3 linked regions of the Rhinolophus ferrumequinum genome follow. The protein of the gene in region 3 purifies or fractionates together with the protein of the main gene of each other region. This does not show direct contact. Links are inferred from orthologs where the notes say so. Each region holds a gene or a part of one and is shown on either strand. Other genes may lie near its edges.

Region 1 (7,579 bases), on a different chromosome or scaffold from region 3:
ATAATGTTTTTTTTTTACTCTGAAAATAACAAGTGTTGGCAAACATGTGGAGAAATTAGAACCCTTATATATTGCTGATGGGAATATAAAATAATGCAGCCACTGTGGAAAACAGTTTCTCAAAAAGTTAAACAGAATTAACATATAACACTGAATATCTACTCCTAGGTATAAACCCAAAAGAATTGAAAACTGATGTCCACAAAAGAACTTGAACATGAATGTTCAAAGCAGCAGAATTACAGCCAAAACGTGGTAACAACCCAATGTCCATCATCTGACGAATGGATAAACAATATATGATGTATACATACAATAGAATATTATTCAGCCATAAAAAAGGAATGAAATACTGCTACCTGCTACAACATGGATGAACCTTGAAATCATTATGCTAAGTGAAAGAAACTAGAGACAAAAGGCCATATATTGTGTGATTCCATGTATCTGAGATGTTCAGAACAGGCAAGTCCAGATGCAGAAAGTAAATTAGTGGTTACCAGGGGCTGGGGGGAGGAAGGAATGGAGAATGACTACTAACAGGTACAGGGTTTCTATTTGGAGAGATGAAAAGGTTCTGGAATTAGATAGTAGTGATTATTGCACAACCTTATGAATACACTAAAAACCACTGAATTTTATATTTTAAAAGGGTGAATTTTATCGTATGTGAATTATTTCTCAATTAAAAAATGCAAAATGGCAAGGCTGCCAATGGAGTACGAGCAGACGGGCAGAAATTCCATCTGGATGCCAAGTGACTGAGTTCCTGTCCCCAATGAAAGTCCCGGTCCTCCTCAGCCAGAAGGGGCTCCACTTCAGTTCCCACCTAAGATTCTTGTTTCAATAATGGGTTCCCCAGCTAAACAAGAGTGGAAGCCCCTGGCCCAATTGATCAACTGTAAAGAAGCTCTTTCTCGACTTCTAAGTTCCAGACTTGTGGAAAGTTAGTATGAGGAGAAGCTGAGGAGTCAAACACCGGCAGAGACCAGCAGCCCAGACAAGCATTTTAGTGTCAAAAGCAGCGTGCGGGGCTGGAGCCCTGCCTTCTGGCAGTGTCCACTAGCAAGGCTCTCTCTGGCTCCCTCTGGTCTCAGGAGAGCATTGGCATGTTGGAAAAGTTCAGTTCCATTCATAAACCTTGATGGAGCATGTTCTGGCTCTCACCCCTAGAAAGAGGAGCCAAGTCACTGCCCCCAGGTGGCTCAGGAACAGGATGTGTAAACATGCTCAGTCACTGACAGCTCTGCTCCCTCTCTTGTACTGAGCTAAGATCTTGAGCTCACTGTCCCCCCAAGGGACAGCGTGGCAGCAGCAGGGGAGCAGCTTTTAGCTGTGGAAAAGGAGGGAAGAGAATTAGTCACTATTGGGCACTTCCTCTGTGCCAGAGACAAAGGAACTTGCATATATATGATTTAACTTCCTCCTCACAACATCCTTGAGCAGTATGTGAAGCGACTTGTCCCAGGTGCTTAGAACTAGTATGTTGTGGAACTGGGATTTGAACCCAGGACCACCTAATTTGAAAGTCTGTGCTCTGGAGAAGCTGGAAGTTCACCTAGCCTGGATTGTTTCACTTCCACTGGACCATTTCTAGCTCCCACTGTTTGTACAACTTGCTCATGCATTCACTTATTCATTCCATAAGTTTCCCTGATTGGCATTTGGTGTCAGATAATATGGTAGGCAGTAGAGACACAAACCTGACTACCTGAACAAGGCATAGCCCTGTCCTCAAGGGTTTATAATGTCATGGGAGCCAGGCCTGGACTGAGATATAAGACTAGGAGCTGAGTTAATTATACCACCAAGAGAGGCCCTGTGGTGGTTTGGCCAGATGGCAAGTGGTTTTAATATGACACTGAGAACTCAAGGTTTGGTGCAATCGGGGCAAATATATTGCCAATTCTCTACCCTCCCTCACCCTGTCCTGTAGATGTGTGAGGTGTGGAACAATGAGTAGCCACCATCAGAGAGAGCTGAGGGGGAAGTGGTATTCTGGGGCACAGCTTCTCAGCCACAGCCGGAAGTAGAGGGAGGGCTTGCTGAACAGACTGAGGTTCAGGGGAGTTTATTGACAATAGAACTTTAGTTTGGGAGGGCTCAGTCAGAAGGGTCTTCAGGAAGAGGACAGTGGTTCCTGAGTGGGAGTGAGTTTTCGAATGAGAATGTAGGTGATCAGAGTGGTCAAGAACAACAGGAGTGAGAGACGGAGGGACTGAGTCATTGCAGTCTGACGGAAACTATGGAGTAAATACATTTTCTACTCAGGTTTCCGAAGCTATTTTCAGTACAGGAAACAAGCTATGGTCTCTGCTTAGGGTACCAAATAGAATACGGGGAAACTTTGTTAGGAAGTGAGAGTGGAAAAGTCAACCTCAAACCAGGCTGGGAGCTACCAGCACTGTTTAAATTGTTGGAAGACTTAGCCTGGAGTGGAGAAGAAGGGAGGTGGATGCAAGGTTTAACTCAGAACTTGATCTCTGGTTGGTTTTTCTTATCCTCTTAGCTATAAACCGGTTTGCTCATTTAGTGAATACTTCCTCCCTTTCAAACTGTCAGGCCCCTAATATTGTTTCCAGTTAATACCTGGTTTAACAGAGAAGTGGCATGGTGCTATGGAAAGGAGTCGGAGGATGGTATCAGTAGACTAGAATCTAGTCACTCAATTAAAAGTCCCAATTCATAGCCAGGCAGGGATGGACTCAGCAGGATTAGAATGCAGGATTTAGAATGCCAATTTTTCCATGCATCACTGCCGTGTTATATAAGGCAGAGCCTGACTTCCTTAGCTTCCTCAAGCTTTGGTTTCCTCATCTGTACAGATACTTTCCTTAATGATATCTACCTTATAGGTGGCTATGAAGATTACATGACACGTGACATCTATTATACAGTGTCTGGCCATGGTGTGCCCCTCACATTATCATTACATACAAAGTCATGTCGCTCTATGGCTGCACGTTGTGGGTGCTCAAATCAGTATCTCACTACACAGCCCATTCATATGGGCTGAATTGTGTCCCCCTCAAAATCCGTATGTTGAAACCCTAACCCCCAGTAGCGTAGAATGTGACTATATTGGGAGGTAAGGTCTTTAAAGAGATACGTTAAAACAAAGTTTGGAAGGTAGGACCTAATCCATTATGACTGGTGCCATTCATTATAAGAAGAAGAAATGTGGACACAGACGTGTACAGAGGGAAACACATGTGAAAACACAGGGAGAAGGTGGTCATCTACAAAGAAAGAACTCAGAAGGAACCAATCCTTGATCTTGGATGTCTCCAGAACTGTGAGAAAATAAATTTTCCTTGTACTGGCAGCACTAGCAAATACAACACATACATATACATTGTACCTTTTTAACTGGTGGGCCGAGAGCTCCCTCATTCTGCTGACTAGCAACTGCGTCTTGGCCTGTACTCGTCTGTTCTCCAACTCAAAGTCCCAACTAAAAGCTCCAAGGATGCTAGGCTGACCATGATGCCAAGGACGCTGCCCCCTTAGCTCTTGGTTGCTAAAGTGAAGTCACCCGAGACAGCAAGACTTTTTTCTTTTGAAGTGACTGGTGACTTGCTGACCAGAGTTGCTTGTCATAGGACAAGCCAGAGAACGCATCATTCATTCATCATGGCCCGTTCCCAAGGTGCTTTCTGGCTGCATGTGGAGGGAAGGGCAACTGGGTATGCGGTGCTGGATGAAGAAATGAAGGAAAAGTGCTGTGGTGACTGTGATGTTCTCTGTCCCAGGACAGTGGAGAAAGAGGAGACTGACAGAATAGAAAGAAGTGGTCTGGGGTGGGAGGAAGGAGGACAGGTACCTGATGTGAATCTCAGGACACTTTCCACCGACAAGTGGAGACTGTGCCTGCATTTCAGCGGGGTCTGGAATCCCGATCTTTGGCGCTGCACTGTGTGTCAGGCTCTGGGAGGATTGCAATAGCCCCCCAAAAGCCGTATGTCCGGGATGGCCGCCCTGGGCAGACAGGGCACTGTGGGCGGGCGCGCGCACACCCGACACGTCCTCGGGGCACTGCCCCCTCCGGGCGCGCGCCCGACCAGCCCCACCCCTGCCCCTTGCCCCTCGCAGGGCTCGGTAGACCCGGCGCCCGGGGCCGCGCACGCCCCCTCCGCGATCCGGTACCCCGAGCCGCGCGCGCCCTGCGCCCCGTCCCCGCCCGCCGGGAGCGCGCGCTAGCTCCCGCTCCCGCTGGCAGCGGCGGCGGCGGGGATTGTTTTTGTTGTCGCTGAGGCCGGAAGAGCCGCGGGAGTCGGGTCCCTGTCCGCGGGCCGGGCGCCGCCGCCGCCCCCTGCCCAGCGCCCGCGTCTCCGCGGCGCTCCTCCCCGCCCAGCGCCAAGATTCCGGAGATCAAGCGTTACGCGGCGGCGGCGGCGGCGGCGGCGGCGGGGCCCGGAGCGGGAGGCGCCGGGGACCGGGGCGAGGCGGCCCCCGCCGCCGCCATGGAGGCGCTGGGACCCGGTGAGGAGCGCGCTCGGGCCGGGGTCGGAATCGGGCCCCGGGACGGGTGGGTGGGCAGGCGGGACCGTCGCTCCTCGTCGCCCCCATCGGCTCGCACATAACCCGGGTTCCGGCCGTCAGGCCCGGGGGAAGGAACCCGTGTCCCATTGCACAAGGCGGAGGGAGCTGACCCGGGGGCGGGGACCGCGCCCCAGCCTGGAGAGAAGAGCCAGATCTCAAGGTCTAAGAGAGGGAGGCCGAGGAAGGTGGCCGCGTCCTCAGGTAGAGGGGAGACCGGACCCAACCTCACAGAGGTGTTCTGTGCTCCAGGGTTGAGGCGAGGCCAGTTTGGGCCTCAGAAGGGACTATCTGTGCCAGGTGCGCTGTAGAGGCTTGGCCTGGACCAGACAGGGAACGTCCCCCACCTACTACCAGGGGTATTCTTGATTTGGGGCCTCAGCCCTAGTTTTTAAATTTATTTTTTATTTTTGCACTGGGAGACGGTCCAGGGCCCTCAGATAAGGAAGGAGAACTTCCCCCAAACACTTCTGATGAACCCCGAAGATCAAGGGGCAAAGTACCCACCTTTTCTGGAAGGCCCTGAAGTCTCGGGGAATATGGTCCTTTTCTTCTGTCAGTCTGTGTGACAGTCCTAGAGTTGTCTGGGCTAGCGCCGTAGTGACAGGCGAGTTAGCAGCCAGCCAGCCAGCCGTCGCTAGCACAGGCTTTAATGCCCTAAGTTCTCTTCTAATTGGGTTATGAGTGGTTCTCCAGGATCAAATGAAGGAGAAAGTGCTTTGGAAAGTGTAATTGCCCATCTTTGTGAATCACCTCTGGTTATCTCCCCAACTCTGCCCAAACCAGAGAAACCATTCCAGGTTGTAACAAGTGCCCTGCTGATTGGAGCCTGGTGCTCCCACCTCCAACCCCAACAGGTTTGTAATGCCTAGCTAAGTAGGGCAGGGTTTATGGGCTGTGGTAGAATTAACTTTACTATCAAATCTTATCTACGTAGGGAACCTCGTGGTAGAGCATTGCATTTTCTTTAGTGCATAGAAAATTCACTTTACCATTTGAGTTTGGAAACTTTGCAGGTTTGTTTACTTACAACTTGTTCACCTCACTGAGTGATTAAATCCCACCTTAATTTGCTGCTTAAACTATTTTTTTAAAGGCCCTCATAATCAAATTTCATATGCCTTTTAAAAATAAATTGGTTTTGTCACACTACTATGATTTGATAAACCTCAGTGTGAGTATTATGCTGGGTTACTTCAGCTATGGCCCCTGGCTAAAGGGATGATCAAGTCTTTAGGAATGTAACAGACTTCTATTCAAATCCAATCTAGCAATTTAATAGTTGTATAACCTTGGGCAAATTACTTAATTCCTTTGAACTTTCATTTCCTCATCTATAAAATGAAGGTAATAATCATTATGTGCTGCAAGATTGTTGTGAGAATGAAATGCGATGATGTATGTGTGTATGTGAGTTTTATTGTAGAGACTAATACATTATAGATACTCAACAAATGTTTCTTCCCTCCCTCCCCTGTTCATAACTCATAATTGAAGCAACTGTTGCATTTATGAGCTCGTATTGAAAGAGACTATATAACTGTGTGTACAAACTGAATTTCATGGAAAAGATCAACTTGGTAGCGTTAGAAATGTCCCAAGGACTCTTTTTGGTTTGATTTTAGCTTTTGCAGATTTGAGGACTTATCAGTTCACCCAGGACCGTGGAAAATTAATTTTCACCACATTTATAAGATGCTAATGCATAAAACAAAATGTCACATAGATGTTTTCTGTTGACTGCAATATTTTCTTGTCTGCTCTCTAACAAACTGCTTTTTTGGTGTCACAGTACCTTGGAAACCCAATTAATAACAAGAAGCTGCTTGCCAACCGTAGAATCAGAGCAAAGGGAGTTGGTAGTCTTGTGGGATATTTCACACAGGTTGTTTTAGAACCTAGAGAAGCTTTCCTGCTTCTTTGTTAAAGCGCACCGATCTAGTACTTTGTGCCCTCCTCACTTGAACAATCATTGAAACATTCTTAGTCTTGCTCTGCTCTCCCTTACCTCATTTTGATTTCTGACAATAATATATTGGAATTATATTTAATTAGAATACCATCTATTTTGGTTATGTTGGCAATAACTTATTTTTACCGTGCTTTACAGTTTGAAAAGTGCTTTCATAGCTCATCTGATCTTCTGTGAAGTAAGCAAGGCAGGTATTATCCCCATTTTACAGATGAGTAAAGGGGTGCAGAAAGCTTGAGTGATTTCATTAAGGTCTTGAGGCTGTATGGTAAAATGAGGATGAGTCTGGGTCCTCTGACTTATAGTCTAATGCCCTCCTTTTCATTTACGGCTAACTTCTTCCAATCTATGTTGAGTCATACTTTTCTGACTGGAAGGTATAAATTTCTGACTTTGTCACCAAGTTTTGGAGATTCCCCCAATATAAAGCCCAGGGATCTTTGAGCACTATAACATTTATGCAAATGCAATCATAGTAGCTAACTAACATCTATTGAGCACTTACTATCACGAGGCACTGTGTTAAGCCTTTTATATACATTATGTCATGGGATCCTCACAATAGCCTTAAGAAATAGATGCTATTATTACCATATACCCCCATTTTATAGATAAGAAAACTGAGGCACAGAGAGGCTAAGGAACTGGCCCTAGGTCATTCAGTTAGGAAATGGTAAACCAGGATTAAAACCCAGGCAGTATGGCTCCAGAGCTTAAGCCACTGTGCTTTATTTCTTTGTAAGAAGTTTACTAAACTCAAAGAAACCAGCTTTTGGGATGGAAAATTTTAGAACTTAGTTTTCTAAATAAATCTTCTAAACGTATTAAAAGAAAATCACTTTCTGACTTTTCTTTCTTGCCAAGGAAAAGAAACACGCTTTTTGCTTTTCTCTATTACTTACCCCTTTTCTTTCATTTCCTCTGCCTCTGTCCCTTTGGCATCAACTACTGTGTTTCCCCGAAAATAAGACCTAGCCGGACTATCAGCTCTAATGCGTCTTTTGGAGCAAAAATTAATTTAAGACCCGGTCTTATAGTAAAGTAAGACCGGGTCTTATATTACTGTAA
Region 2 (8,059 bases), on a different chromosome or scaffold from region 3:
CATTTTCCCTCAGGGTATTCCATCACTGTCAGAGAGATTAAATTCTAAAACAAAAATCAAAATAATTTTGCACATTTTTATAAGTCCCACTGCCAGGCAAAAGCAGCAAATACTAGGGGAAATAATGTAATGGCCACTCCAAAGCAGCACAAGCTAAAATTTAAGTGACAACCAAGTAGAAAAACATTTTCCATGTTCAAAATTAATGCCCTCCAGACAGAGCAGCAGTTTGACTTTTTTTTCCAAGACAAAAAAAATGCAAGTGAAAAAATTTATATCATAAAAACATTCTCCAAAGTGATTAAAGATTGTTTAAGTATTCAACTGAGAACCTAATGGCCTTATATTTGTTTTAGTATTTTGAACCCACTTTTTTCTACCTCATTTAAATCTAGCTTCCATACATGAAATTTTTGTTCTTTTGGAACTTGTTCTCAAATGACTTTTCTTGATATTTATTGTTCAAGAATGCAGAGTATCCAAACACAAAGTATAACTAAGACAGAAACATAGTCTATTCACTTTTGCAACATTGTATAAGACAACTACCAAACCTGTCAAATCTATTTGCACAGTAATGTAAGGTAAATGTTTTTCTTCCATTGGAAGGTAGGTACAATTCTGTCTGCCCTAAACAGTAGTCTGACTTTACCTAAAAATACAGACTAGAATAGTTAAGGTCCTAAAAAATAGCTACTCTGGAGAAGTGATATCTCAATGAACATTTCTGCTTCCTCTATTCCCGCTCTATTTGGAACTAAAACATAACATATACTTTTAGCCCAGCTGTAATTAAACCATAAAAAATAGGGTTTCAGCAGAAGTTCCTCTAAGGAGTCATAAGCACAGATGCTACACTGTTATTATTTACAAACCAATTGTGGCAGCTTTTTGGGTTAAATCAAAGTTCACACAGCACTAGATCAGTAGATTGAACAGGACACCCTTAAAAATCACTTAAAATATTTCATGCAAAAGGGAAGAACAGATAAATAACTTTTAGTGAGGGATGATTCACCAAGAAACTACAGTATTTGTATTCAAAGTCCTCTAATATAAATAAATTTAAGTTTTCTATGTATCCACCTAAGGACTAGATTTTAAAATATCCTGTCATAAGATGATTTCTAAGAATCTCCACACAAAAGAAAAACTTGGAACAGAATTGGAGAGCCAAGATCCAACACTGACTTAATAGCCTAGTAGAGAACATTTACATCTAAAATTTTTAAACCAGAGTATGTACTTGTCAAATTCTTTATTTAAAACTTAGTTGCACATTTTTCCCAACAATGCTTTCAATTTCATGTGTAATTTAACAATTGCATATAAGTTTCAGGAAAAACGAAAACTTTGTTTTTAATGATGACAAACTTGAGCTAAATTGTACTTTATCTTCCTTATTAGATTAGAGTCACTTATGTATAAACTACACTGAATAATAAACTGCATTTCAAGATGTCCAATTCTTAGCTCAAGAATTCACAGGAGCGTTTACTGAATCATACTTGGCTAGCTGGATCAGTTGGTTAGGTGGTTTGACTTCGGAAGAATTTTCTAAGATGTCTATATATTTGGGCATAATTTCATGTAAAAAAACCAAAGAAGACAAAGGAAAAAAAGCTTCAAAATTTTTTTTTGACATATCTTTAAAAGTTTTAGAATGATTAATAAAGTGTTTAACTTTCATGTTTTGTTTTCCAGGCTTGACAACAGGACAGTTATATAAAAATCACCTATAACCCCAAATCATCACATTCCGTAAAGAGTATAGTAGAAAGTTAAAAATTCCATATAATAAAACTTGTAATAAACCTCTCACCCTGTCGCAACCTCTATAATTTGAGTGCTTCTGCATCTACTTGAAAATTATACTCCTTAACCTAATTAACAAATTCTTTATCATTATGTCACTGGTTTCTTTTACATAAGTTTTTCTTATCTCATATTCAGATATCTCCCAAACTAGCAAACTATGATGTGAAATTCAGGGACTTGGGATACCATTAGTCACAATACGCCCACCACCACCACCAATATTTTGAAAATTAATTTATAAATCTGTGACTGGATGAAACATACTTTCAAATTTAACACACCAAGTATGAATGCTCCTTTGGAAAACAAGCCGTTATGTAACATCTACTTTATGTCCCTCAATTAATTACTTTAGAACCATAGTGCTCTTTTTCCTTTCAAATAAGTACTGTCCAAGTTGCGATTTTTTTCTCAAGGCTACCCTTTTACAAGGAGAGAAAGTTTTCTTCATTCCAAATTTCCAGGAATATGACAACCGAACCTCTAGGGAATAGAGAATGAAAGAATATACTGTCAGCAATTTTAAGATCCACCTCCTCACATAAGCAGAGATCCAGGCTGATATGACATTTCCAAGATCCTCAGGAACTACATAACACGCTGCTACAAACATCAGAAGAGAACTCGGGGATGGGAGAAATGTCATCTTGCATTTGACGTTGCACTAAAACCTATTTCAAACTTAATCCTCATCTGTTATCTCACAGTTATCTTCACAACTACCTTCAGAGGTAAGAAAGGGAGAGAGCTACCTGCCCAGCGCCTCTACGGGACACACAACCCAGTTAAAAGGACACGCACACCGTTACACCTCCAACCGGAATAACAAAAGCGATGGCAAACCCTTCTAGACCCCAGGAAAAGAAGAGCACTATCGACTAGAGAACCCCAAACTTCAATCCTCTCAGCAGTGTCCCCTCCCCGCCGGGTCGCCAATTCAGTGGCTCCCGGGAACTGCGGCGGGGCTGCGGGAAGGCGGAGGAGGGGCCGAGCGGGGGTCGGCGAGGGGGAGCCGCCCGGACGGCGCTCACCTCGCGCGACGGGGCCGAGGCTGAGGGAGCGACGATGCTCTGGGGACACCCCCACCGACCGGGCCAGCATGGGACACACTCACCTGCGGAGCCGATTTCCATTCATGGAGCTGGGGGGAGTGCTTCCAGCGAGAAGGGCGCCCGCCACTGGGGGGCAAGGAGGCGGCGAAGGGGGCGACGCGGCGCGACAGGCACTCTCACTCGGCCCCGAGGCGGGGTGGCGACCGCTTCCTCTCAGCGAGCGCGCTCCGAAAGCTCTCGTCAGGAAGAGCCGCCGTCGGGAGGCAGCACGCCACTAGGCGAGAGGAAGGAGAAGCGTGAGGCGAGGAGAGGGGAGCGCGGTGCGGAACTTGCGTCGCCCGCGGCCGCTGACGCTCGGGCTGCCCCTCCACGACTGCGGCGCCGCGGCCGACCTCCCCCGGGGCCGTCCCCGGAAGCCCGCTGGCGTCAGTTCCGCTGCCCCGGCTCGCCGGACGTCCAAGCCTCGCCTCTCCGTCCCAAGCCGTGCGGGCGCGACGTCGGTGCGGACGCGGCCGGCGCGGGGGACGCAGGGGAGGTGTGGGGAGAGGGCGACTAGCGTGGGCGGAGCTTGGGGCACGCGCAGCGGGGCGGGGCGGAGCCTCCGCTGGGCTGTGCCGGCTGGAGACGACCCGGCGGGGCTGGGCTCCTCGGGCCACCCTGGTGCGGAGCCCTGCCTGCCTGCGACGTCGCGGAGGGCGGTGTCGCTTACCTGGGGAGGAGCTACCTGGAGCGAGGCTGGTCAAGGTGCAGGGCCACCCTCCTTCCCGAGCCTCTCCCTCCACGCCCAGTTGGGGCGACCCCACGCGCCTCCTCCTCAACTAGTTGGTCAAGTAACCACTACAGTGGATCACTCCAAGTCCGCAGGGTTTCTTTGACGACGATTTGGGGGGTAAAATGTACAATTTAGCTTGGGAGAAGATTAAGAACCAGGACATTACACAAACATCAGATCGAATAATTTCCATGTTTAAAACTCTTTAATAGTGTCTCGTCACACTAAGACCCAAACTCCTCTCCAGGGCCCAAACGCACTGTGTGACGGGGGCCCAGCTTTTCTCTTCAAGCAAGACTTCACTATGCTACAGCTATGCTGGTCTAACTCCCCCAACGGGCAAAGCGCTTCTTTTTGCTATTGGGAGTCTCTCAGCTTTCAGTTCCCTCGGCAAGGAACCCTCTTCTTTCTCTCCACCCCGCCCCTCCTTTTTACACCTCAATTTAAGACTTAGGCTTTTTCGGCTATGGGAGGGCACCCGTTTTTCTATTACAGTATTTCCTTAATAATCCTGTTCTAATCTGTAATTTGTTTTTACTAGTTTATTGTGTGCCCCCTCTACCAATAGTATGTAAGATTAGGTTACTAGGACAAGCACATTAACTGGCAAATAGTAGGTCCTTAATATTTGTTTCCTTTAATGAAAGGTGATACTATTTTACTCAGGCTGAATGATTCATGACTTTTCCCTATGTTCCTAACCATCAGTAGTAATGTTGTTTAGACTTTAAAAAATCAAAGTACATTCTTTTTTTAAAAGCTGGGACAAAGAGGAAAAGGAGAGAAAGTATCCTATCTTAAATCATCCCCTTCCCCCCCCTTCAATCACTGGGACTTTGGATCAATCACTTGAGCCTCCTGGCTTCAGGTTCCTCTTCTGAAAACTGGAGAGAATATGTACCTTATAGTAGTTGTGAGATTAGGGAATGTGCATAAAGCACAGAAAACCCTCCCTAAATGTTAGTGAATAAAAAAGTATTTACTGTATTTACCATTTTAAAGCACTTACTAGATACACATACTGTAAACACTTCATAAATGGGTGGGATTCAAACCCACATCTGATACCACTTCTTTCTCTCTTTTTCCTTCCCATCCATAACCCATTTACTGAAAATGCCCTCCCCAATTTTAAAATATCAAATTAAATGTCACCAGATGAAACACTGTATCTTCAAAGTTATTTTCAATCCTTGACTAGACAAATCCAAATCTATAGCAGCATCTGACAGGGTAAATACCAACTGTTGTGCAAAGGTCTAGCACACCTTCAACCCCCAATTCTAGAACTGGTTCCTCAAGTGACTGCAGGCTTCTTCGGCATCTCCCAGAATAAACATGTTGACGGTGATGAACCCTGGAGGTGGGCCACTGTCTTCTTTGCTGACATTGATGAAGCAGGATTTGGACTTTCTAATTAGATCCAGTTTAATAAATGTCAATGATGCCTTCCCACCTACTTCTGCTATCCAGGGACCCCCACCTCTTCAGAACAGGCCCAAGTGAAAGGTTCATGAATTATAGTATCAGGAAGTGGGAAGGCAAAAAACGTTTGAATGATTCTGCCAAAAGCAAAGTTGTATGAGGCTTTCCCCTGACCACGTGCACACACTAGTTTTGAATACCCTCATTCCCAAAGGAGTCTGTTCTTAAGGGCATAGAACAGTGCCATTGTGCATCTTGTTAACTGTCATAGCCCGTGCCTACAACAGTGCCAGTGCCTGGCACATATCGACATTCTGTAAATACTTGTGGGATGCATGAATAAATGAGTGGGCTTCAAGAATGGGGCTCAGGAAGCAGGCTAAAACTCTGCCCTCATCTGACGTGGCACTGGTTGCTCTCAGAAGGGAGAACTACAAAATAGAGAAATCTCAGGGGAAAGGAAATCAATGCTTGCTGAAAGGTGCATCCCTAGGCTTTCTGTGCTACACACATCATTTCTGGATGAGAACAACTGGAGAGAATCCTCTCCTCTCCCATGAGCTGTAGTGGACTTGACACTTGGGTTCAAATCTCTTCTCCTAGACCAGTTTTTAAACAGCAGAAAGCTAGAGTTGACCCCTGAACAACACGGAGGTTAGGGGTGCTGACTCCCAGGGAGTTGAGAACCTATGTATGACTTTTAGCTCCTCAAAAACTTAACTAGAGATATCCTTCAGGACCTGGAGTGATTGGCTCCAGGACCCTGTGGACACCAAAATCCAAGGATGCGCAAGTCCCTTATATAAAATGGTGTAGAACATGTAGTGTGCTTTCCACATCCATGGACTCTGAACCAGGGACTGAAAATACTGTTTTTGGTCCACAGCTGGTTGGATCCACGGACGTAAAACCTGGGGGGATACACAGGGCCGACTGTATATGTATTGAAAAAAATCCGCACATAAGTGGACCTACAAAGTTCAAACCTGTGTTGTTCAAGGGTCTGCTGTACTTTGTACTGCAGCAGGACACAGTATAAAACATACTGGCTTTAGGGACACTCAGAGCTGAGACTGCAGGCCCTCTGCTACTATCTGTGATCCTAGGAAAGTCACTCTGAGCCTCATATTCCTCCTCTGTAAAAACCAGAGGACTTGAGTAGAGCAGACACTGCTGGATACCTACCCAACAGCCCTTCTTTCTTGTCTAACAGACATGATTTGCCTTTCTTTCTAAGCCACACAAGTTAGAGGTAACTCCTAATTAAGCCACTCATGATGGATGATCTTATTTGCTTTGCCAATGACAGGAGTGGGAAGATGACCCAGTTCTAGCAAATGAGACATTATGCCAGATCAGCTGGGGCTTCCAAGGATTTTCTTACTTTACATGAAACATTGGAAAAACTTAGTCCCTCTTCTGCAAGACACTGTTTTGTCCGCATTTCCTTCCTGGAATTATGGAAGCCATCTGGGACCCTTAGGTGAACTAGCATGAGGGTAAACCAACATAGAGGATAGCAGAACAAAAAGACTGCAAGAACCTGGTTTGTTGGTTTTATCATTGAGCCACTGAATTAATCAACCTTGGGGCCATATTAAATCCGGACATCTTGTCATGTACTAGTTTCCTTATTTAAGCCAACTTAATGGGAGTTTTGTTATATGCAACTGAAGGTAATTGATAAATCACTCCACATGAATGCTGTGCTGATGCAATTAAATAAGATAAACAGATACTGTACAAAACACCTAGCCAAATACTTCAAAGTTCCCAAGCCTCCTTTTTCAGTTCACTTCCATTAACAATCCATAAGCTTTTTCAAAAAAACTGGCTGGGATCTCCTACTGCCTCCTTTAAGAAAGTTACTTGCCTTCAATAGGTGGGGACGAGGGATGGAGGGCTCCTTAGAAAGGTCCCTCAGATTTCTGTCCCAAAAGGACACCGCCAAGAAGATAGTGGTGAAGCTGCTGCAGTCCAGAGCAGAGGACAATGTGTTCCTGCAGGGCAAGCCACGCTGGCCTAAAAAACCTCGATATGGCATCCTGGGGAAGATAGTCATGGTGCTCAAGTGAAGAACTTCTAAAATGTACCTTGTCCCCAGCAAGTCCACTTTTCCAGCTACTCCTTGACATAGCTGCTTTACAGGAGTGCCTCTCTCATGCTCTGCATTTCTAAGCTTGCCAGGTTTCCTCAGCTGATAGCCAGAGGAATAAATGTCTTGAAAGCTAGAAACAGGGAGAGCTATTTGCGACAATTCAATGCGACTTGCCATTCAAACAGTACATGCAACAGTCTGGAAATTGCCCAGACTCAGAACTTGAAAATAGTCTTCTCTTTGTACTGTAACCCTTTCCTTTAGCCCTCAAACCCTAACTGCCACGAGATTCGGGGTCTGCTAAGCCAAGAGATATCCAACAAATACCCACTCTCACTCTGCTCCAAGCCACTTGCTAGATAAAAACGTGCTACAATACATGTTGCTGAATGACAGGGCAGAGGGAAGGCTGCCCCACCAATACTGCAAAGGGATATCCAGGGTGCTAGGACAACCCTTAACTTAATACCTTAGGCTCCAGGACCAGACAAATCAGGCCTTGGGCTCCCATCATCTTTTTCTCTTGAGCAGCAACCAACAGGCAAATCGTGAAACCTTTTTTAACATCAATCATTAATAAAATTGAAATGTATGGCAAAAGAAAAAAAGGGCCGTAATGATCATCCTCCTCCTTGCTCTGCTAACTACTTCTGCTTTACTAAGGGTCATAAATTTATTTTAAGTCTTATTTCAATTGGGAAAAATCTCCCCCATGTTCCAATTTGCATTTAAAGTACAACCAAGCCCACTCACCCTCACTTCTAAAAAGGAGCATGCAGTCTGGCTGGCTTGCTCCCAAGGGAATTTGTCAGGTGGTAGCCACAGGTTAGCTCTGCAATTTGAAGAGTCACAACACTTGGCCTCCAGGGGAATGTTAGGGCCCACTTATGTACA
Region 3 (7,724 bases):
TCCCTATCAATCCCAGTTGCTAAATACAATGGATTTTATTCAATTGTTCTGCTTTAACTGGCATTTAAAAATTAGAATGACCTGAAACTCTTGTCATCTGGGAGCTCCTGTCCCATCTGGATATTAAGGATACTGCAGACCCAGCCACACGGCCAGAAGCTCCTTTTCGCTCCTGGTCCCGTGGCTGAGTCTGGGTCCTCCCATCTGCCTGGTCTGCAGCCAGTCCCCGCTCTTTGTCAGTTCTGCTGATTTTCAGATTCCCATCAGCGGCTGGGTGGTGCTGGGGGAAGAGCAGCTGCTTTTACACGTGGGGGGTGAGGGTGGGGGGACAGGGGCCATGGTGAGGGAATCAAACTCAAGTCCTGGCTTCAAGGATTGAGTCTAGTTCTGATGCCCAAACTGACAGGGAGCATGTTTAGTCCGTTTACCTGACAGAAGGGGCAAAATTCGTTACTTTTGCTACCTCTTAGACCATTTCTTTCCAGTCCCTTTTGATGGACAGTCTTCCTCTGCTTGTCCTTTCATTACTGGTATGTTCCTCAAGAGTTCATCCTCCCCTTTCTCCATTTATTAGATATACATGTCCTTATCCTCTCCTATAGATTTAACTACTACCTGTATCTTGATGACTCCCAAATCTCTCCCCAGTGTTGACCTTTCCTACAATCTTCAAGGCCATCTATCTATACAACTGCCTTTGTATGGGGACATACGAATGTCAGGGGACTTCTCCACCTCATGTCCCACGGGTCCCCATAACATAACTAAAACTAAAATAACCTTCCCCCAAACTGTATCCTCCTTCTGTCTCACTTGGAAATATTATACTATCATCTCACTCAAAGAAAAATCTGGGGACCGGCCCGGTGGCTCAGGCAGTTAGAGCTCCATGCTCCTAACTCTGAAGACTGCCGGTTCGATTCCCACATGGGCCAGTGGGCTCTCGACCACAAGGTTGCCGGTTCGATTCCTCGAGTCCCACAAGGGATGGTGGGCTCCGCCCCCTGCAACTAAGATTGAACAGGGCACCTTGAGCTGAGCTGCCGCTGAGCTCCCGGATGGCTCCGTTGGTTGGAGCGTGGCCTCTCAACCACAAGGTTGCCGGTTCGACTCCTTCCAGCAGGATGGTGGGCTGCGCCCCCTGCAACTAGCAACTGGCAACTGGACCTGGAGCTGAGCTGCGCCCTCCACAACTAAGATTGAAAGGACAACAACTTGACTTGGAAAAAAAAAAAAAAAAGTCCTGGAAGTACACACTGTTCCCCAATAAAAGTCCTGTTCCCCTTCCCCAATAAAATCTTTAAAAAAAAAAAAAAGAAAAGAAAAATCTGGGACCATGACCAGCATCATCTTCTCACCAAACTCTATCAATTCTAATCCCCACATATTTCCGTGTGTATTTTCTTCCCCGTTCCTACTGCCATGGCCTTAGTTTTGCAATAGTTTCTCATCAGATTTATTCCAACTGTTTTTTAAATTGTTTTCTTACCCTCAAGACCAACCCCACCTCCGCTGCCATGAGAATCACCTTTACAAAGTGCAAACCCACACTGCCCTTGCAATGTCTCTCATCCATCTTCGAGAGAAAGTCCCATTCCCACTGTGTGGTCTACAAGGCCCCGTACCAGTTCACCTCTCGGCTTCATCTCACAAAACCACACTGCTGTCAGTGTCCCTTAAGCACCGCATGGTTTCACGTGCCTCTGACCCTGTACATGCCATTTCCACCTGGACTGTCTTCCCACTCACAAGGCAAATTCTTTTTCAACCTTCAAGATGCAGGCATAGAGAAACCTTTTCTAGGAAGTCTTTCTTGATTCCTCTCTCTTGCTACAGGATGGGTCCTTCCTCTGAGTTAGCAACTGTGCTTGGCACATATTTCCACGAGGCTTGTGTACGCTGTGTATACTACTAGGTTATTAGCTTCCTGAAGACAGGCTCTGAGCCTGATTTATCACTGTATCACCATCATTTAAAACAGTGCTAGTGCAAAGGACATCCCCATAAACTCTTATGGAATAAAAACACACTTTGGGGGAAAAAATAAAGTAAACTCAATGCAATAGTCTTGGTTTATTCAAATAAGGACACTGCTTATAAGTTATAACTGTATGTCCAGGGCTACAGTACAGACTCCATTCATTCATTCATTCATTCATTCATTCATTCATTCATTCAGTGAATGAGCCACCTACCAGGTACCATGCTCTGTTCTAGAACACCATGGTAAAGTAATGCCAGGATCTCAGGCCAGTGTGGTATTTGCGTGAGACCCTCAGACTTCCAGGGAGAGCCTGTGCGCAAACTTTGGAACTAATAGCAGGATCCTGGCATAAAGATGTTAAATTTATTTTTACATCTTCTTAGCAAGGGTTGCCTGAGAAAAACAAACTCAGTCTGAAGCGGGGTGAAGACAAAGGCAAGTGCCTCACCTTCAGCTACTAACCCAGTTTGGTCAATTAATTAATGCTCTCTAGCTTAGTCCAGGACAATTTGCCAATTCTTTACCAGAAAGGCACGCTACCTTCTGAAGACTAAACCAACTGCTAGTCACTTGGCGGTAGGGGCGGGGATGGCAGGGACTAGCCGTAATAAGAAGGGCAGAAGCAGCTACTCAACAGCTTTGCTGAACGCTTACTAAGCGCCCAGCACTACGCTCGGCCTATGGCCATCAACAAGAGCCTGTGGCCAGGTTTTACTGCCATTGTTGGACACATAAAAATTAAATAGATTAACACGCTCAGCTTTTATAGCCAATTATTGATGATCTATGATCAAAAACCCTTTATTCTTTTTCCATATTGTATATTAATTTAATGAGTTTTTTTTAATCAAATAGCTATTTCTACTAAGGTTCACAAAATTTTAACTGCGTCTCGGTTCTACAATAAACCAGTGAGTTTGGGAAATTTTAATATTGATATTGAAAATAATAATACGAATAACCATTACCAACTGTTTATGCTGTGCTCAGCAGTATATATCATGAACGTCTCAAAAACCTCTCACTTAAGATATCCCTGTCCTCAGAGGTCTTACACTACTGATAAGGAGGAGAAAACTAGCACGCCAAACAATTCCACAAAAACCAAGCATGAAGCTGTGCGGCACAGAAATTTAGAGAACACAGAGAAAAAGTGGGCTAGACAAGCTATGCAGCCCTCAGAGAGAAACTGGGATTCCAACTGGAACTGACAGCGGTTAACGCAATGATTCTCAAACTTTTTGGTCTCAGGACTGCTTCAGAATTTTAAAAATTACTGAGAACCCCAAAGAGCTTTTGTTCATGTGGATTAATTGTCAGTATTTACCACATTAAAAATTAAACTATGAAAATTTAAAAATATTTATTCGTAACTATTCATTTAAAAATATTAAACAATTACATGTTAAACATTTTTAAATTAAAAATATTTTAAAGGATAAAAATTTTGAGAAAAGTGCCACTGTTTACATTTTTGCAGATATCTTTACTACCTGGCTTAAGAGACAACAGCTGGCCCCTAGGATCTGCTTCTGCATTCAATCCTTTGCGTCTCACATGTCACGTAGCCTCTGGAAAACTCCACTGCACAATCATGAGAGAATGAGTTAAAAGGCTTATCATCTTAGTACTAATAAAACAGTTGTGACTTCACACACCCCCTGAAAGGGTCTGGATTGGGGAACGGGGAGGGATCCCCAGACCAAATTTTGGCTAATTATTAATTTTAAAAGAGAAAGAAAATGGGTTCTGTGATCTAATAAGCAAGGGCTGGGCAGGAAGGAAGTGTGTGGTTCGAAAGCCATTAACTTCCACGTACGCAACTCTTACTCCTAACATTTTGGAGCTACAATCTAGCTCACCTCCATTGTGAATCTCAGAGAGACAAACGGCAGGGCAAGGTGGGGTTCTGGTGACAGCGGGACAAGGAGCCTCTCCCTCAGCAAGTCCCCCAGCAACATTCCCTGAAGGCCACGTCAGGGTTTCCTCTGTGGCGCCTACACTGTGCTCTCCTCCTAGAAGCTGTAAATGGCTCACGAGAAACTGCCTCGCATGGCTTCCCGAGGCTGTGTTTACTGAGTGAAAAATCATCTCACTGCTACCAGCTCCAATACGGGAGACATTTCTTGGTCTGGCTGTCGTAAAAAGCAGATTTAACATCAGCCACGTAGCCAGGTTTTTCCTGCCAATAATCATGGGAGTCTGCTCCCCCGTTCCCGGGCATCTTGTGCACTTGTAAAAACAGTTCCTGCAGCTTCATATGTCACGGATCTAGTTGCCATAAAATGAAAACATTTTCTTCATATTTTGTGGCACAAACTAAAAGCATTCTGGATGTGGTTTGCATACAGTCCATCTCTGGCCAAAAGGGAGGTTTAATTATGTGGACAGACAGAGAAAGGGAGGTGGCTATACCCATGGTTAAACTGTTTTTATCATCAAAGTCAATGTTTGATAATGGATGTTTTTAATTTAAAATTTTACCATGATTAATTCTCTAAAATTAATATGCAATAAGCACAATTGTTCATTTTATGCAGCAAGTTTTCACTTGTCTTAACAATATTTTATAGTTGAGAAAAGCAGATGAAACAGAAGCTTCTTTTTTGATCTCTTAAATTAAAAAAAAACAGAAAAAAGCATGACTCTATATAGTTTTTCAGTTGTTTTTTTTTTGTTTTTTGTAGTAAACATATTTATTAAGGCCCCTTTACAGAACAGACCATTCTGAAGTCAAAGTGAAACTAAAACTCTGAAAGATTTCTGCTCTGGGAATGGTAAACTAGGTAATTCAGACCAACTAATGCTGAGGACAATCAGAAAATCTGGACAAAATGTAAAAAGTATTTTGAAGGCAGAGGAGTACTAACAAGTTAATTAGGAATTAACATATACAAAAATCAATTTCAGGTGAACTACACACCCAAATGTGAAAGATAAATAATAAAGCTTTTTGAAGATAACACAGGAGTAGGGAGGGCTCTCTTACACAGGACACAAAAAGTACCTATTACTAAAAAATAAATATGACTATATGAAAATTCAGAATTTTTGTTCATCAAAAGACATAAGAAAGTGAGAAAGTAGAACACATAAAACCAATAAAGGGCTCATATTCGAAATAACAGAGAGTTCTAAAAGTTAAAAACAAAAGACATAACTCAATAGGAAAATGGGGAAGAGATTAGATGAGGCACATTACCAAACAAACAAACAAACAAAAAAACTACACAATCTAAATGGCCAATAAACATCCGAAAAAATGTCAAGCCTCAATAGTAAGTGAGAAAGTACAAAAGAAAATACAAAAGAAAATCATGATGATGCCAGAATAGCTACAAATTTTAGCTGACATGGTAGTCTGCTACCATGTTTCCCTGAAAATAAGACCAGGTCTTACATTAATTTTTGTTACAAAAGATGCATTAGGGCGTATTTTCAGGGGACGTCTTAGTTTTTCAGATACAACAGTCTACATTTATCCAAATACAGTCACGTCATCTTCTTCTGGAACATCGTCAGAACATACTAAATGCATCCATCTGGCTGACAATCTTAACTGGGGCTTATTTTTGAGGTAGGTCTTATTTTCAGGGAAACACGGTAATAACAAATATTGCTGAGGATACGGAACAGAAGGAACTCTGATACTCCACTTGTGTGAGTGTGAGTTGTTATATCCACTTTGGAATACAGTTTGGCATTATTCTTCTAAAGTTAAAGACAAACACACTTCATGATCCAGCAATGACACTCCCAGCTTTATACCCTGCAGAATTCATGGACATGTGCACCAAAAGACATGTATAAAAATATTCAGAGCAGCACCATTCACAATAGTTTCTAACTGGGAACAACCCAAGTATTCTCAATAGTGAAACAGATAAATATGCATTCTGGCATATTCATAAAATGGAATACCATACAGCACCGAAAATGAAGCAGCAGCCCACAACAACATGGGTGAATCTCGCAAACATAATGACCAGATACAAAAAAATTCATAGCATGTGACTCTGTGTTCAGAATCAGCCCGAACTATAATGTTTAGAGGTACACATGAGTAGTAAAAGTAGAAAGAAAAGAAAGAAATCAGAAGAGCAGTTACTTGTAGGTGGGAAGGCAGGGGTAATGACTAGCAAAGGTCACTAAAAAGGGGCTACAGTGTCCCAGCAATGTCCTATTTCTTGACCTGAGAGGTAGTTTTTTAAAACGATTCATTAAGTTTTACATTTGCATTTTATGTACTTTTCTGGTTCTGTGATATATTTCACAATAAAGAAGAATGAAAGCAAGAAAAAGAAAATAATTACTAAGAAAACTGGTATCTTTGGTATAACATTAAAAATGAGATCACAGGACCAAGCTCCTTAGACGGCATCTGGCCCTTCATTGTCCAGTCCGATCTTTCTAGTCTCATCTCTTGCCACCCACCATTCTTCACAAGTAGTCTGCCATACTTGCTCTCAACCTGTGCTTCCTTTTTACCTTAACTCATGATATTTCTCTGTCTAAAAAACCATGTAGACATATCCCAATCTCCTGCCAGACTAAGTACAAACTGTCACTCAAGACACAGGCTGGATGTCATCTCCTGTGAGAAACTTCTTCAGGAGACACAGAGTCTAGAGGCACATTGCTTGGTTCAAATTCCAGACCTGCCATTTACTGGTAAGGTGACCTTGGTCAACTTACCAACCTTAGTTTTGTAACTTCTTCATCTGTAAAATAGGATAAAAATATGACCTGCCTCACTGGGTGGTTGTGAAGATGAAATGGAGAAGTGTATGCAAAGTGCTCGGAACATGCCTGGGAGAGAGTAAGCACTAGGCATTAGCTATTATTACTAACTAGGTGTTAGCTAATATTATTATCAATAACACACTGGTAATGTCCTGCCTACCCCCACAGCCCCTCCCCCATACCTACTCTTGCTCTGGGTTCCCACGGCTCCGTAACATAGGGTATGTGCTTGTATACAGCTCTTACGGATAACTTCTGGAGAGTTAAATCTTTCACATCTCAACCCCCATCATCCATCATAGAGCCGGGCACGTACTAGGTGCTCCATGAGTATCTGTGCATGAATAAACTACAGAGACTCCAGATGTGGGTCTGTATCACATAGAAGAGTAGTCCCTGATGTTGCCCTATCCTGTGTGTACCGTAGACCACAAACTGGACGTACAGTCTGGATGAGGCTCCTGCAGCAATGACCTCAGAATATAGGTGGAGACTCCCTCTGAGAACAACAGATGAGGGACAAATAATAGTACTTGTCCTACCTACAGTTGTGAGACTATTGTGTGAGGCTCGAATAATGACTATGAAAATATATTGTTAAGTGTGAATCTTTACTATATGAGGTTTCATTACCTTAAAAACACCAGGATTATTGTTGAATTGCAAGTCTGTAAAGGCCTTTAAGGGACCATAAAGAATTAATATAATGTAAAAATGCAATCTGATATGGTCTAAGATAAAATTTTAACTTGGGGGTTAAAATATTTTGCAATGAAATTTCCCGATTTTCTCATTTGGTTATTAATTATTTATGTAATATTAAAACAAACATTTGTGTATGTGAATATTCACAGCAGCAATTATTCATAATAGCCCGAAGTGGAAACAATCCAAATGTCCATCAACTGGTGAATAGATAACCAAAACCATGGTACATCCACCTACTAGAAAACTACTCAGCAATAAAAAGGGAAGAACTACTGGTACATACTATGAC

The links. Proteins that work in one complex are often made in the same cells at the same time.
Region 1: the proteins of TNRC6B (region 3) and AGO4 purify together in Homo sapiens (co-immunoprecipitation; 3 studies listed by BioGRID and IntAct, with this or other methods). This does not show direct contact. The link is inferred for Rhinolophus ferrumequinum from reciprocal best matches to the Homo sapiens genes TNRC6B and AGO4.
Region 2: the proteins of TNRC6B (region 3) and AGO3 purify together in Homo sapiens (affinity purification with mass spectrometry; 6 studies listed by BioGRID and IntAct, with this or other methods). This does not show direct contact. The link is inferred for Rhinolophus ferrumequinum from reciprocal best matches to the Homo sapiens genes TNRC6B and AGO3.

Annotation. Positions count from the first base shown.
Region 1 is NC_046292.1:24,850,364-24,857,942, forward strand, and holds the start of AGO4 (protein argonaute-4), read left to right. Parts: upstream 1-4,266; 5' UTR 4,267-4,463; coding exon 4,464-4,482; intron 4,483-7,579.
Region 2 is NC_046292.1:24,945,241-24,953,299, reverse strand, and holds the start of AGO3 (protein argonaute-3), read right to left. Parts: upstream 3,314-8,059; 5' UTR 2,956-3,313; coding exon of another isoform or gene 2,952-2,955; coding exon 2,933-2,951; intron 1-2,932.
Region 3 is NC_046293.1:7,522,327-7,530,050, forward strand, and holds the start of TNRC6B (trinucleotide repeat-containing gene 6B protein), read right to left. Parts: upstream 3,536-7,724; 5' UTR 3,523-3,535; coding exon 3,478-3,522; intron 1-3,477.